Cricetulus griseus: one gene and its partners. The protein of the gene in region 2 interacts with the protein of the main gene of each other region in a pairwise test. Links are inferred from orthologs where the notes say so. Each region holds a gene or a part of one and is shown on either strand. Other genes may lie near its edges.

Region 1 (3,650 bases), on a different chromosome or scaffold from region 2:
CATGTCTGCATATGCACTTATTATGTGCATGTGTCTGTGGTGTATATGTGGTATGTCTGTGGTATATGTCTGCTTATGTATGTCTCCGTGTGTGTGCATGTCTGTGTTGCCAAAGATGAACCCCAGGAACCTCACACATTCAAGGTATATGTCCTATCACCAAGCGACATCCCCAGCCTCAATTTTCTCCCCTGAATAACTCAACCTCATTGATGGGGAATGTACTGTGTATGTTTATCTTATTGTTAAATAAAATACCGTTTGGCCAATGAGATAGCAAGTTAGACGGGACTAGGAGTCAAAGAGGATTCTGGGAAATGTAGTAGAGAAGTGCTGATCCAGGCAGGAAGTGACATAGCAAGGGGACTCATATTTAAGTGAAGGAGAAACAGGAAGGCCCTCTTTTCCCCTTCGTTCCTGCTCCAGCGGCACAATGTGATCCACCGACAAGGAGGGACACCAATAAGGTGCCCGATAAGTCTTATAAAATATATAGATTTATGATAATTAAGACTGAGCTAGCAGATGAGAAGTCCTAATCATTGGCCAAGCAGCATTGTATCTAACTCAAGTTTCTGTGTATTCATTTGGGCCCTAACTTGGGCAGGGGGCTGGCGTAAAGCTCACACGTGGCGGTGGGGCTCAGGCAGCTTTTGGCGGAAAAATTTATCGTAATACCTCATCACTGTAGGTATACGGTCACACTGCTATTTGACTCAGGGACTGGCAGAGTCTATTCTGTCTATACTTCATTGTAGGGTTATAGAAGCTCACAAGGCAAAGGGCACCAAGGGATCAAGTCACAGAGCAAGGGCTCACCCTCTATGGCAAAAGAGGCTAGCAGTTTACTTATCAAACATGAGTCACACTTGATAATGCTTTTATTTTTTTTCCTCCCCTTAAAACAGCTTAAGCCAGGTGGTGGTGGTGCACACCTTTAATCCCAGTGCTCGGGAGGCAGAGGCAGGCGGGTCTCTGTGAGTTCGAGACCAGCCTGGACTACAAGAGCTAATTCTAGGACAGCCTCCAAAGCTACAGAGAATCCCTGCCTCGAAAATCCTAATAAAAAAAAAAAAAAAAAAAATTTAGTCCCAAACTCTTTAAACCCTCCACCTGCAGCCTCCCAAGTACTGGAATTACAGGTAAGCACCACCAGACTCTCTCAACTACCATGGTATCCTAAAACCATGTTAGCCGGCCTGCTGAAGAAAGAAGGAGCCAGGAGAGCCTTTGCATGAGCTCCCAGCACAGTTGCCACTACTACAAGGTCCATTTCTTCCAGGTAATGGCTGGTTTCTCTTCAGACAAGATTTTGTGTAGCCTAGTCTGACCTAGAACTCACTATACAGTCAAAGATGACCTTGAACTCCTGACCTTTCAGCCTCAACCTCCAGAATGCTACAATTACAGGCATATACTCCACGTCAGGTCTATGCATCGCTGGGGCTAGAACCCAAAGCTTCTTGCATGCTACATAAGCACTCTACCAACTGAGCTACATCCCCAGCCTGGAAGTTATCAATTACAGCACCCTCCTATTAGATTCCTTCATCTCAAAAGTAGGGATGGAAGGTATGTCAGTCACAACCATAACTAAAACCTAGCATGATACCCAGCCCAAAGCCAGGCACTGTGTGAGAGGCAGAAGGGTCTTACCAGTATCCTGGCGGAACTGAGTCCAGCTGGGGAGGTCGATGATGTAAGGGGCCAGTGAAGGGTCAGCCTGGCCTAAGGGGATGCTGTGGGCCAGGCTCCCCAGTCCGAAACGCTGGCCCTTCTGCTGGACAAACTGCTGCTCAATGAAGGAGCAGACAGTGGCACTGTAGGGATGCCAAGTGCCAAGCCCATCCTGCCATTCCCACACAGCCACCACCACAGGGCTAGGGTACACCTGTGGCAAAGACGAGCTTGGGGCCATGGCCATCTTCTGCTTTCCCTGAAGACTTCACACCACTCTGGGTTGCAGGCTCAGGTTCATTGCCCAGAACCTCCAGGGGACCTGGGAACAAGGCACAGCAGTTACTCACACACATCAGGGGCCTTGTATGGCAGCTAAAGAAAACCAACTTTTCTATACCACCCTCAGAGTGTCATGAACTAACTGTGGATCTCCATCTCTGCCCTAGCAGACAGATAATTAAAAGACATCCCTGCTGTTTACCCCACTTGAGCACACACTCCAGAGCAGGGAGCACAGCGACAGAGGGTGTTGATCACTACCCATTCACATCCTTCCTGCACATGCCACACAGCTCAGCCATTAATGGGGAATTCTCTGCAGACTCTACAGCTGAGCCATGCCTCTGGGAGTCAGTGTGTCTTGTCTGTGAGTCACCCCAGACCTTTGTGGAAAGGCCACAATGACCTGTGCATTGTGTGAGAGCCCTCCAGTTCGCAAGTCAGGCCTTGTTTGTGGGCTAGAGGAACAGCTGCTACCCTATCCTCTCAGATGTTCTGAGGCTTGGGAACAAGGACTCCATGACATCCTAGGGCAGTAGCTTACACATAGGCCAATGGATAGGAACAGTTTGCTATACAAACTAAGGACCAAAGTTTAAACCCACAGAAAAGCTGGGCATGCTACCTGTATCTGTATTCCCAATTATGAACCAGTCTGGCCAAAACAGCAAGTTTCAGGATCAGTGAGAGTTCCTGTCTCATAACATAAGGTGAAAGATGATAAAAGACATCCCAAGTCAGCCGGGCGGTGGTGGTGCACGCCTTTAAATCCCAGCACTTGGGAGGCAGAGGCAGGCGAGTCTCGGTGAGTTCGAGGCCAGCCTGGTCTACAAAGCTACACAGAGAAACCCTGTCTCCAAAAAACAGAGAAAGAAAGAGAAAGAGAGATCCCAAGTCCTCCTCTGACCTCTGTTTGTACACACATACAAACACACATAAAGGCCCATACCACACAAAACCAAAACCAAAACCAAACTAACAGCTAAGACGATCAGTGGCCGCAGGGTGGTGGCACATGCCTTTAATCCCAGCACTCGGGAGACAGAGACAGGTGGATCTCTGTGAGTTCGAGACCAGCCTGGTCTACAAGAGCTAGTTCCAGGACAGCCTCCAAAGCCACAGGGAAACCCTGTCTCAAAAAAAAAAAAAAAAAAAAAAAAAAAAAAGAGAGAGAGAAAAGAAAAAAAAAAGACTATCAGTGGCCACAAGAAGCCCTAGATATGAAACTAAAGTGTCCTTGGCTATCTCCCAGCACCTCCCTCCTGCACCTGTGCCTTGTGTAGCAGCTAGCTGGCTTCTTTACCCCAAGGACATTCTGCTCCTCTTTCTGCTCCATCTTCTCCTGAGAATTTACATCCTTCATGCTCAACTCGTGACTCAGGGGGCGGGGCTCTATGGTAGACTTCCAGCTTAGAATCCCCCAGTGTCACATGAGCTCATGACCCCGCACACCCTCCCGACACCAACCAGAACTCTTCTGAGCAGGAAGACATACAGGCACGGTCCTGCCCTGCCCCGCCCGAGTCTTCCTACCCCACCAGATGACCACAGACCAGCCCTATTCATAGGTGTAGGGCCAGCACCCAGCACCTAGCTTAGAACACAGCTGGAGACATTAGGCAATGATGTCATTAAGTACCCACAGCTGTGCCATGGGAGCTTTGCCAGGGCACACTTCTGTGCCCTAACTC
Region 2 (3,650 bases):
GTAGTGTGGTTAACTTCAATGGTCATCGTTACCAAACCTATAATTACTTGAAACTGTTTACATTGGGTTGTCCTATTAGCACATCTACGGGAGACTGCCTTAACTGATTAGTGTAGGAGGACCCAACCCACCGTAGGCAGCATCACTTCCTAGGCAGGAGATCGTGAACTGTGGGAGGGTGGAGAAGCAGAGCTGGGCACACATGTGGAAAAGAACAAGCAAGCACTCATTTCTCTCTCCTTCGACTGCGGATGAGATGTGACCAGTGCCTTCAAGTTCTGCTACCTTGATTTTCCCACAATAGACTGTAACCTGGAATTGTGAACTAAAAAAAAACCAACAAAACAAAACAAACAAAAAACCAAACCTTTTCCTTTAGGTTGCTTTTTGTTGTAGTAGTTTATCACAACAGAACTGAAACTAAAGCACGTGGTAAGGAAATTATAGTTCAAAGAAATCTATCAAGACCAGAGCCCTCCTAGAGCTTTTGTTCCACATCCCACTACTCTATCAGAATAAAGTCCTTTTCTATTAATAAACAAAACAGAAGATACCTACCTGCTCTGATGCAGACAAGGGTAGGGGCAAAGACCCTAATTCCTTTAGCAACTCATTTGTCTCCTTGGCGAGCTGATTTGTGGAGTGCTGTAACTGTTGCCTAAGAGAGAAGACAAGTGTCAGGATGCCATGGCTTCTCGAGAGCTCTCACACTATTACTTCACGCTCGGGGACTCCCAGCGCAAGGAAGGAAGGGAGGGCCATTCAAACAGGCGCTTCAATGCCTGTGCTCACAAACCCTCATTACTGAAGCAGTTCCACTGAGCAGAAAGATGCTCAATGACACCTGCTGAAGGAAGCACAGGCCAGGAATTTCAGCTGTTTGGGAAGAAAAGCATGTCGGCATTCTGATAGAAACACAGGAGTAATTACTACCTACATCCAGTCCTAATGGCTTTAATACACTGAACTCACTTAAACGTCTCACCACTCCCCAGGAGCTCTGCATGGTCAGTTCCTACCATAGTCCACTGACTAGGGTGGTTACATGAAACAGCTTCCTATATACCTAGAAAAAAAACTCCAAAGATCTATTCCTAATCTCTTGTCCAAAAGTGGGTTCTTTCTGGGGCTGGAGAGATGGCTCAGAGATTTAAAGCACTGACTGCTCTTCCAGAGGTCCTGAGTTCAATTCCCAGAAACCACATAGTGGTTCACAACCATCTGTTACGAGATATGGTGCCCTCTTCTGGCCAACAGGCAGACATGCAGGCAGAAGATTGTATACATAATAAATAAATCTTTAAAAAAAAAAAAAGTGAGCCGGGCATTGGTGGTGCACGCTTTTAATCCCAGCACTCGGGAGGCAGAGGCAGGCAGATCTCTGTGAGTTCGAGGCCAGCCTGGTTTCCAGAGCGAGTGCCAGGATAGGCTCCAAAGCTACACAGAGAAACCCTGTCTCAAAAAACCAAAATAAATAAATAAATAAAGTGGATTTTATGCCTGATAGCTTTTCCCTCTGCTGTTTAGAACACTTACCTCTTGTGCCAGATACTGGGCTCAATATCTAACACCAAAAAAAAAAAAAAAAAAAAATCACAATAAAAAAATACACATAAAGAAGCTCGATGCTGGGTACAGTGGCCTTCACCACTAGTCCCAGCTCCTCTGAGGCTGGTATAGGAGCAGCATTTGAATCCAGCAGTTTGCAACATACTAGGATAGAAGGAAGGAAGGAGAGAGAAGCAAATTCAAGAGGGAAGAACATAAAATATAAGTCATGCTATGGAGCCAGGCGGTGGTGGTGCACGTCTTTGATAACCAGCAATTGGGAAACAGAGGCAGGCAGATCTTTGTGAGTTCGAGGCCAGCCTGGTCTACAGAGCAAGTTGCAGGACAGGCTCCAAAATTACAGAGAAACCCTAAGAAAAAAAAAAAGTGATACTTTAGAAATAATAAATAAATAAAAAGTTCTTCCCATCATGGTTTCCTCTAATCTCTGGCCATTTCTACAAAGATTTTAAGGGGTGACAGAGAAGTCATAGGCTATGGTCTGAATTCATGTTGAAATACTAGCCCCCAAGTGATGTTATTAGGAGGTAGTAGAAAGTGATTAGCATGTGTGGGCCTTTTGTGAAAGCATTAATTCCCCTTACGAGGCACCAGAGAACTAACTACTTACCTCTTCCACCAAGAGAGGATACAATAAGAAAGCATCAACTAGCTGGGCCTTGGTGGCGCTCACTTTAATCCCAGCACTCAGGAGGCAGAGGCAGGAGGATCTCTGTGAGTTCAAGGCCAGCCTGGTCTACAGAGTTCCAGGCCAGGCTCCAAAGCCACAGAGAAACCCTGTCTCAAAACCAGTCTCCCCTCCCCCCAAAAGAAAGCATCAGCTGCCTAGCATAAGGACATACTCATTTAATCCCAGCACTAAGGTAACTGAGGCAGATGGATCTGCAGGATAGTAAGACCATTCCAAAAGGAAAACAAAAACCAAATGTTATCTATGAAAAAGAGGGCCCTCATTAGACACTGTATATGCCAGAGCCTTGATCAACCACCCCTCAGCCTTGAGAACTATAAGAAATAAATTTTGCTTGCTAATGAACTATCTAGTCTATGGTCTATTACTGCAGCAGCCTTAATGGCTGGGATACCACATCGTTTTTTTCACTTTAAGTAGACAGCTAGGATTAGAAAACATGAGAGACAGCAGAGGAAGCCAGACCATCCCAGAAACACTAGCATATGCAGACAGGTCATCTCTCCCTGAATTTGCTCCCTGTGACAGCAGTCACTCTCTCACTTCACAGCGTCTAAGAGTGGAAACGAGTAATGTAGCTCAGTTGACTTTAAAGATAGAGAACCTGATGGTGGCACACACCTTTAATCCCAGCACTAGGGAGAGGCAGGCAGATCTCTGTGAGTTTGAGGACAGCCTGAGACCTTGTCTTGGGAAAAAAATAAATAAACATATGTACATATATACACACACACACATATCAAACTTTAAAAAATTACTTTTGTTTATTATCTGTGTGTGCATTTGTGTGTGTGTATGCTTGTGGGCACAGGGGTGCCATGATGCATGTGAAATATGCTGACATTAGAAATAACTTTCCAGAGTTAGATTTTTCCTTCTACTATATAAGTTACAAAAATCAAACTCAGATCCCTGGCTTGATGGCAAGCACTTTTCTTTACTTGCTGAACCATCCTGCTGGCCCCAGAGAATAAAATTTTTACTTTATTATTTTACGTATATGGGTGATTTGCCTGCATGCATGCCTGTGCACTACATGTGAGCAATGCCCACAGAGGCCAGAAATGAGAGTTGGATACCATGAAAATGAAGCTATAGACAGTTGTGAATCACCATCTCAGTGCTGGGAACTGAACCCATGTCTTCACCACTGAACCATCTCTCCAGTGATCAAGAATAGAACTTTACAAGCAAAAATAAAGTCAAGAAAAATGTGACTGTGCTGGAGAGATGGTTCAGAGGTTAAGAGCACTGACTGCTCTTCCAGAGGTCCTGAGTTCAATTCCCAGCAACCACATGATGGCTCACAACCATCCATTATGAGATCTGGTGTCCTCTTCTGGTGTGCAGATATACATGGAAGCAGAATGTTGTATACGTAATAAATAAG
Region 3 (3,650 bases), on a different chromosome or scaffold from region 2:
GAGCATGTTAAAGGCAAAAGAATATGGTTTTATATATATTAGAATGGCTAATCGGCTGGCTTCCTGAGATAAGAGAATTTATTCTGGGGTATCATATTGGGTCCAGGTAGTCCCAGTACTTGGGAAGCTAAGGCAGGGAAATTGTAAGTTTGAGTTTGAGGCCAGCCTAGATTATATAGCCAGGCTATCAGAAAACCAAAAACAAGCAAACAAACATACTAGGCGTTTTAGTCACTTGGGAGACTGAGGCAAAACATTACCATGAGTTCAAATCCATACTGGAACACAGTGGAAAACCCTGTCTCAAAAGATAAGAAAAGAAAAGGAGAGGCTAGGTGTGGTAGCACAAAACTGTAATTCCAGCACTCGGGATGAAGGCAGAAGGATCAGTAGTTCAGGGCCACCTCAACTACATACTTACATACCAAATTCAAGGCCAGCCTGAGCTACACAAGACTCTCAAAAGAGGACAGAGGTTATTTCTGTATATGTTTAGAAATAGAATTTCTTTCTTTGTTTTTGTTTTTGTTTTTTTTTGTTGTTGTTGTTGTTTTTTGTTTGTTTGTTTTGGTTTTTTTTTTTTTTTTGAGACAGGATTTCTCTGTGTAGTCCTGGCTGTCCTGGAACTATGTAGACCAAGCTCAGAGATCCTCCTGCCTCTGCCTTTGGCGTGCTGGGATTAAAGGTGTGCTCCACCACGGCCCAGCAAAAACAAAAATAGTAAGCTCAGTTTTGTAGCATAACTTCATTTCCTTTAGTCTCTTTGAGATTGTTTACTGTGTAGCCCAGGCTGGCTTTGAATTCATGATCCTGCTGCCTTAGCCTGCCAAGTGCTGAGATTTCAGCTGCAAACCACCACACCAGGCAATGATTTTCATCTTTGCTTTTTTCATGTTTTATATGGTTTGATGTGGTTTTGTTTCTTTTGAGACTGAGTCTCATTTAGCCCGGTCTGGCTTCAAATTCATTAGTAGATGATGACCTTAAAATTCTGATATTCTTGCTCTATCTGCTAGATTATAGACGGGCACACAACAACTTTGATTTTTAAAGCTGTCTCTGCCAGCTCTGCCTGGTGTAGTAGTATGCACCTGTAGTCACAAATATTGCAGGAATAGCTTGAGTACAAGAGTTTGAGGTAAGCTTGGAGTTCACGGGATTTACAGTAGAGAGAACTTGTCTAGCATGCACAAAGCCCTGGTTCCAATCTTAAGCATTAAAACAAACAAACAAAAAACCAACCTGTCTTCCAGAGCTTGCTTGCCTGTGAGCCTGCAGCTTTGCATTGACAGTTCCCTGTTGTATTGTCATGTCTCTTTCCGTATCTCACCTGTTGACTTGTAAATTGAGAGTCCTTAATCTGCTAATGTTGAAGGACCAGCCAGAGCTCAGACTTGACTTCTCCAGCCTATAACCCCTGTCCCATTCCCGCTCCTGTCCCTCTGCATGGCCTCAGAGGCAGCTACCTCCTTCCTCCCACCCCTTTAGTTCCTTCCTGGTATGAGTGATTACTGGGGACAGTTTCCTAGGACTTCAGAAAAGAATAGGCCAATTTCATGGAGCAGTGACCGTCAGTGAACTGTCCCTCTGGTGTTTCTTTCTGAACTAGACCCAACCCCCAAAGGGCCTGCTTCTGCTGTGACTGCTGAGGTTTACCCAAAGAACTCAAGTCTTCGAGCCTATCATCAAAAGATCGACAACAACCTAGGTAAGTTTGGGAGCTACAGCAGCCTCCAGACAGTTGATGCTGAGCACAGCCAGGGCGCCCAGTACTGCCTCACTGTCAGGAATCTGTCCACTTCTCCCCATTTCCTGCTGTCACTGTAGCCAAGCCATCCTCACTACTTTCTTGACTCCTGACCAGACCTAAGCATCCCTGGGGCTTAAGAGCATCCAGGATAAAGCCACACGGCTGATGTGAGTGCGAAGGAGCTGAACTCAGATCTCATGCTTGCCCAGCAAGTGCTCATATCCACAGAGGCATGTCCCACAGCCCACCAGGCTGGTCTATCTCAGCCTTTTTTCCTGTCCTTACTGTCTCAAACCCAAGAAGCTTTCTTGAAGCCTGGGTGAGTGACCACTAAACTTTTACTTTACAGGAAACGTAAGGTCACATGTTTCAAAGATCTCAAGAAGCATAGTATGCCAGGCAAACACCTGTCATCCCAGGTACCTGTGATTAAGATAGGGTTGCAAATCCAGGGCCAGCCTGAAAGTTTGTGAGATCCTGTCTCAACATGACAAATATAAAGAGGCTGGAGGTGTGACTCAGTGTTGGAGTGTTTCCCTAGCACATGCAAGGCCCTAAGTTTGATTCTCCAGCACTTAGGGGAGCAATGCTGTACGTGGTAGAGACCCTAAGTCTTCTCAGGCAGCAGAAGCAGGGAGATCACTCTGACTTCAAGGCCAGCCTGGATTGCATTGTAACTTTCAGGCCAGCCAGAGCTATCTATCAAGACTATGCTAAAACAAACAAACAAACAAACATGTTAACCCTGGTTATCTGGAGGGAGGAGGTAGACAGTGGCTTCTACCTACACTAACCACATATTACTATGTAGTAAGTAGATTTCTCTTCACTTCCATGTTTTTTGAGTCATATGCTACAGGCTGTGGCACTCGGTTTTAGACAGGACTCTGCAGTCCAGATACCACTGAGCATCCAGAGGGGCAAGAAGCCCCTGCAGACACTGTAACTGCCTATCACTTCCTTCTCACAGATGAGCTGTCCATGGGATTGGGCCGACTCAAGGACATAGCCTTAGGAATGCAGACGGAAATTGAGGAGCAGGATGACATTCTTGACCGGCTAACAACCAAAGTGGACAAGTTAGATGTCAATATAAAAAGCACAGAAAAAAAAGTTCGGCAGCTCTAAAGAAACTGAAAAGGAATTCTACTCCATTGTGATGAAAAGATTCAAAGCCTCTTTTAAACTCCTAAGAAATGTCATTGATTGTACAGTATGTAATTTAACATATGTGTTCAAATGTGGGTCTTAAGAAATTTTAGTTTCAATGGGGAAAAAAATGTGTGTGTACACATTTGGGTAAGATCAACACCTCTAAAGTTCTGGGCAGACTAATTGTGAATGCCTTGAGCTTTTGATACTGTGCAGGAAGAAGAAAACCGTGCATTTCTTTCTTTCACAAGTATATGCAAAGATGTGGGCAGGATGTCAGTCAGTCTCCTAACTATTGCCTTCTATTTACTCGCTGTTTCTCACTCCAAGGCCTTACTGTGAATTCATGTAAAGTGACCCTGGGTTTTGGCAGAAGGAAGGGTCCTTCCACATCTTTGTATGTCAATCATTATCGATATGCCTGCACATACACTGAGCACATTGTAGCTTTCTCCCCCTGAAAAGGACCCCTGTTAGACCCAGAAAAGGAATGTGTTGCCTTCATTACTCTCCCCTCCTGTCCTCAGTTCTTGTCCTGTATTTCAGTAGAAGGACTCAGACTAGAACTGTTGGACATGACACCTGCAGTGTATGGAAATTGGATGAACTCTTCTTCCCCACCTACTGTCATCTCATACTTGCCATCTCTGGTGGGGACAGGTTTTTTTGACTGGCTCTAGGTCACCAAGTAGGTTGATGAGGAACCCCTGTGGAGTTAGTGAGCCCTGAGTATCTCCCAAACAAAAAC

The links.
Region 1: the proteins of Stx12 (region 2) and Dtx2 interact in binary tests that used the Homo sapiens proteins (3 or more experiments, as listed by UniProt). The two-hybrid records come from large-scale screens. The link is inferred for Cricetulus griseus from reciprocal best matches to the Homo sapiens genes STX12 and DTX2.
Region 3: the proteins of Stx12 (region 2) and Snap29 interact in binary tests that used the Homo sapiens proteins (3 or more experiments, as listed by UniProt). The link is inferred for Cricetulus griseus from reciprocal best matches to the Homo sapiens genes STX12 and SNAP29.

The regions. Positions count from the first base shown.
Region 1 is NC_048597.1:115,008,933-115,012,582, reverse strand, and holds part of Dtx2 (probable E3 ubiquitin-protein ligase DTX2), read right to left. Parts: intron 3,345-3,650; exon of another isoform or gene 3,228-3,344; intron 2,000-3,227; 5' UTR 1,925-1,999; coding exon 1,657-1,924; intron 1-1,656. UniProt on the Homo sapiens protein: Regulator of Notch signaling, a signaling pathway involved in cell-cell communications that regulates a broad spectrum of cell-fate determinations.
Region 2 is NC_048595.1:20,401,559-20,405,208, reverse strand, and holds part of Stx12 (syntaxin-12), read right to left. Parts: intron 659-3,650; coding exon 559-658; intron 1-558. UniProt on the Homo sapiens protein: SNARE promoting fusion of transport vesicles with target membranes. Together with SNARE STX6, promotes movement of vesicles from endosomes to the cell membrane, and may therefore function in the endocytic recycling pathway.
Region 3 is NC_048597.1:71,888,174-71,891,823, reverse strand, and holds part of Snap29 (synaptosomal-associated protein 29), read left to right. Parts: intron 1-1,609; coding exon 1,610-1,708; intron 1,709-2,720; coding exon 2,721-2,878; 3' UTR 2,879-3,650. UniProt on the Homo sapiens protein: SNAREs, soluble N-ethylmaleimide-sensitive factor-attachment protein receptors, are essential proteins for fusion of cellular membranes.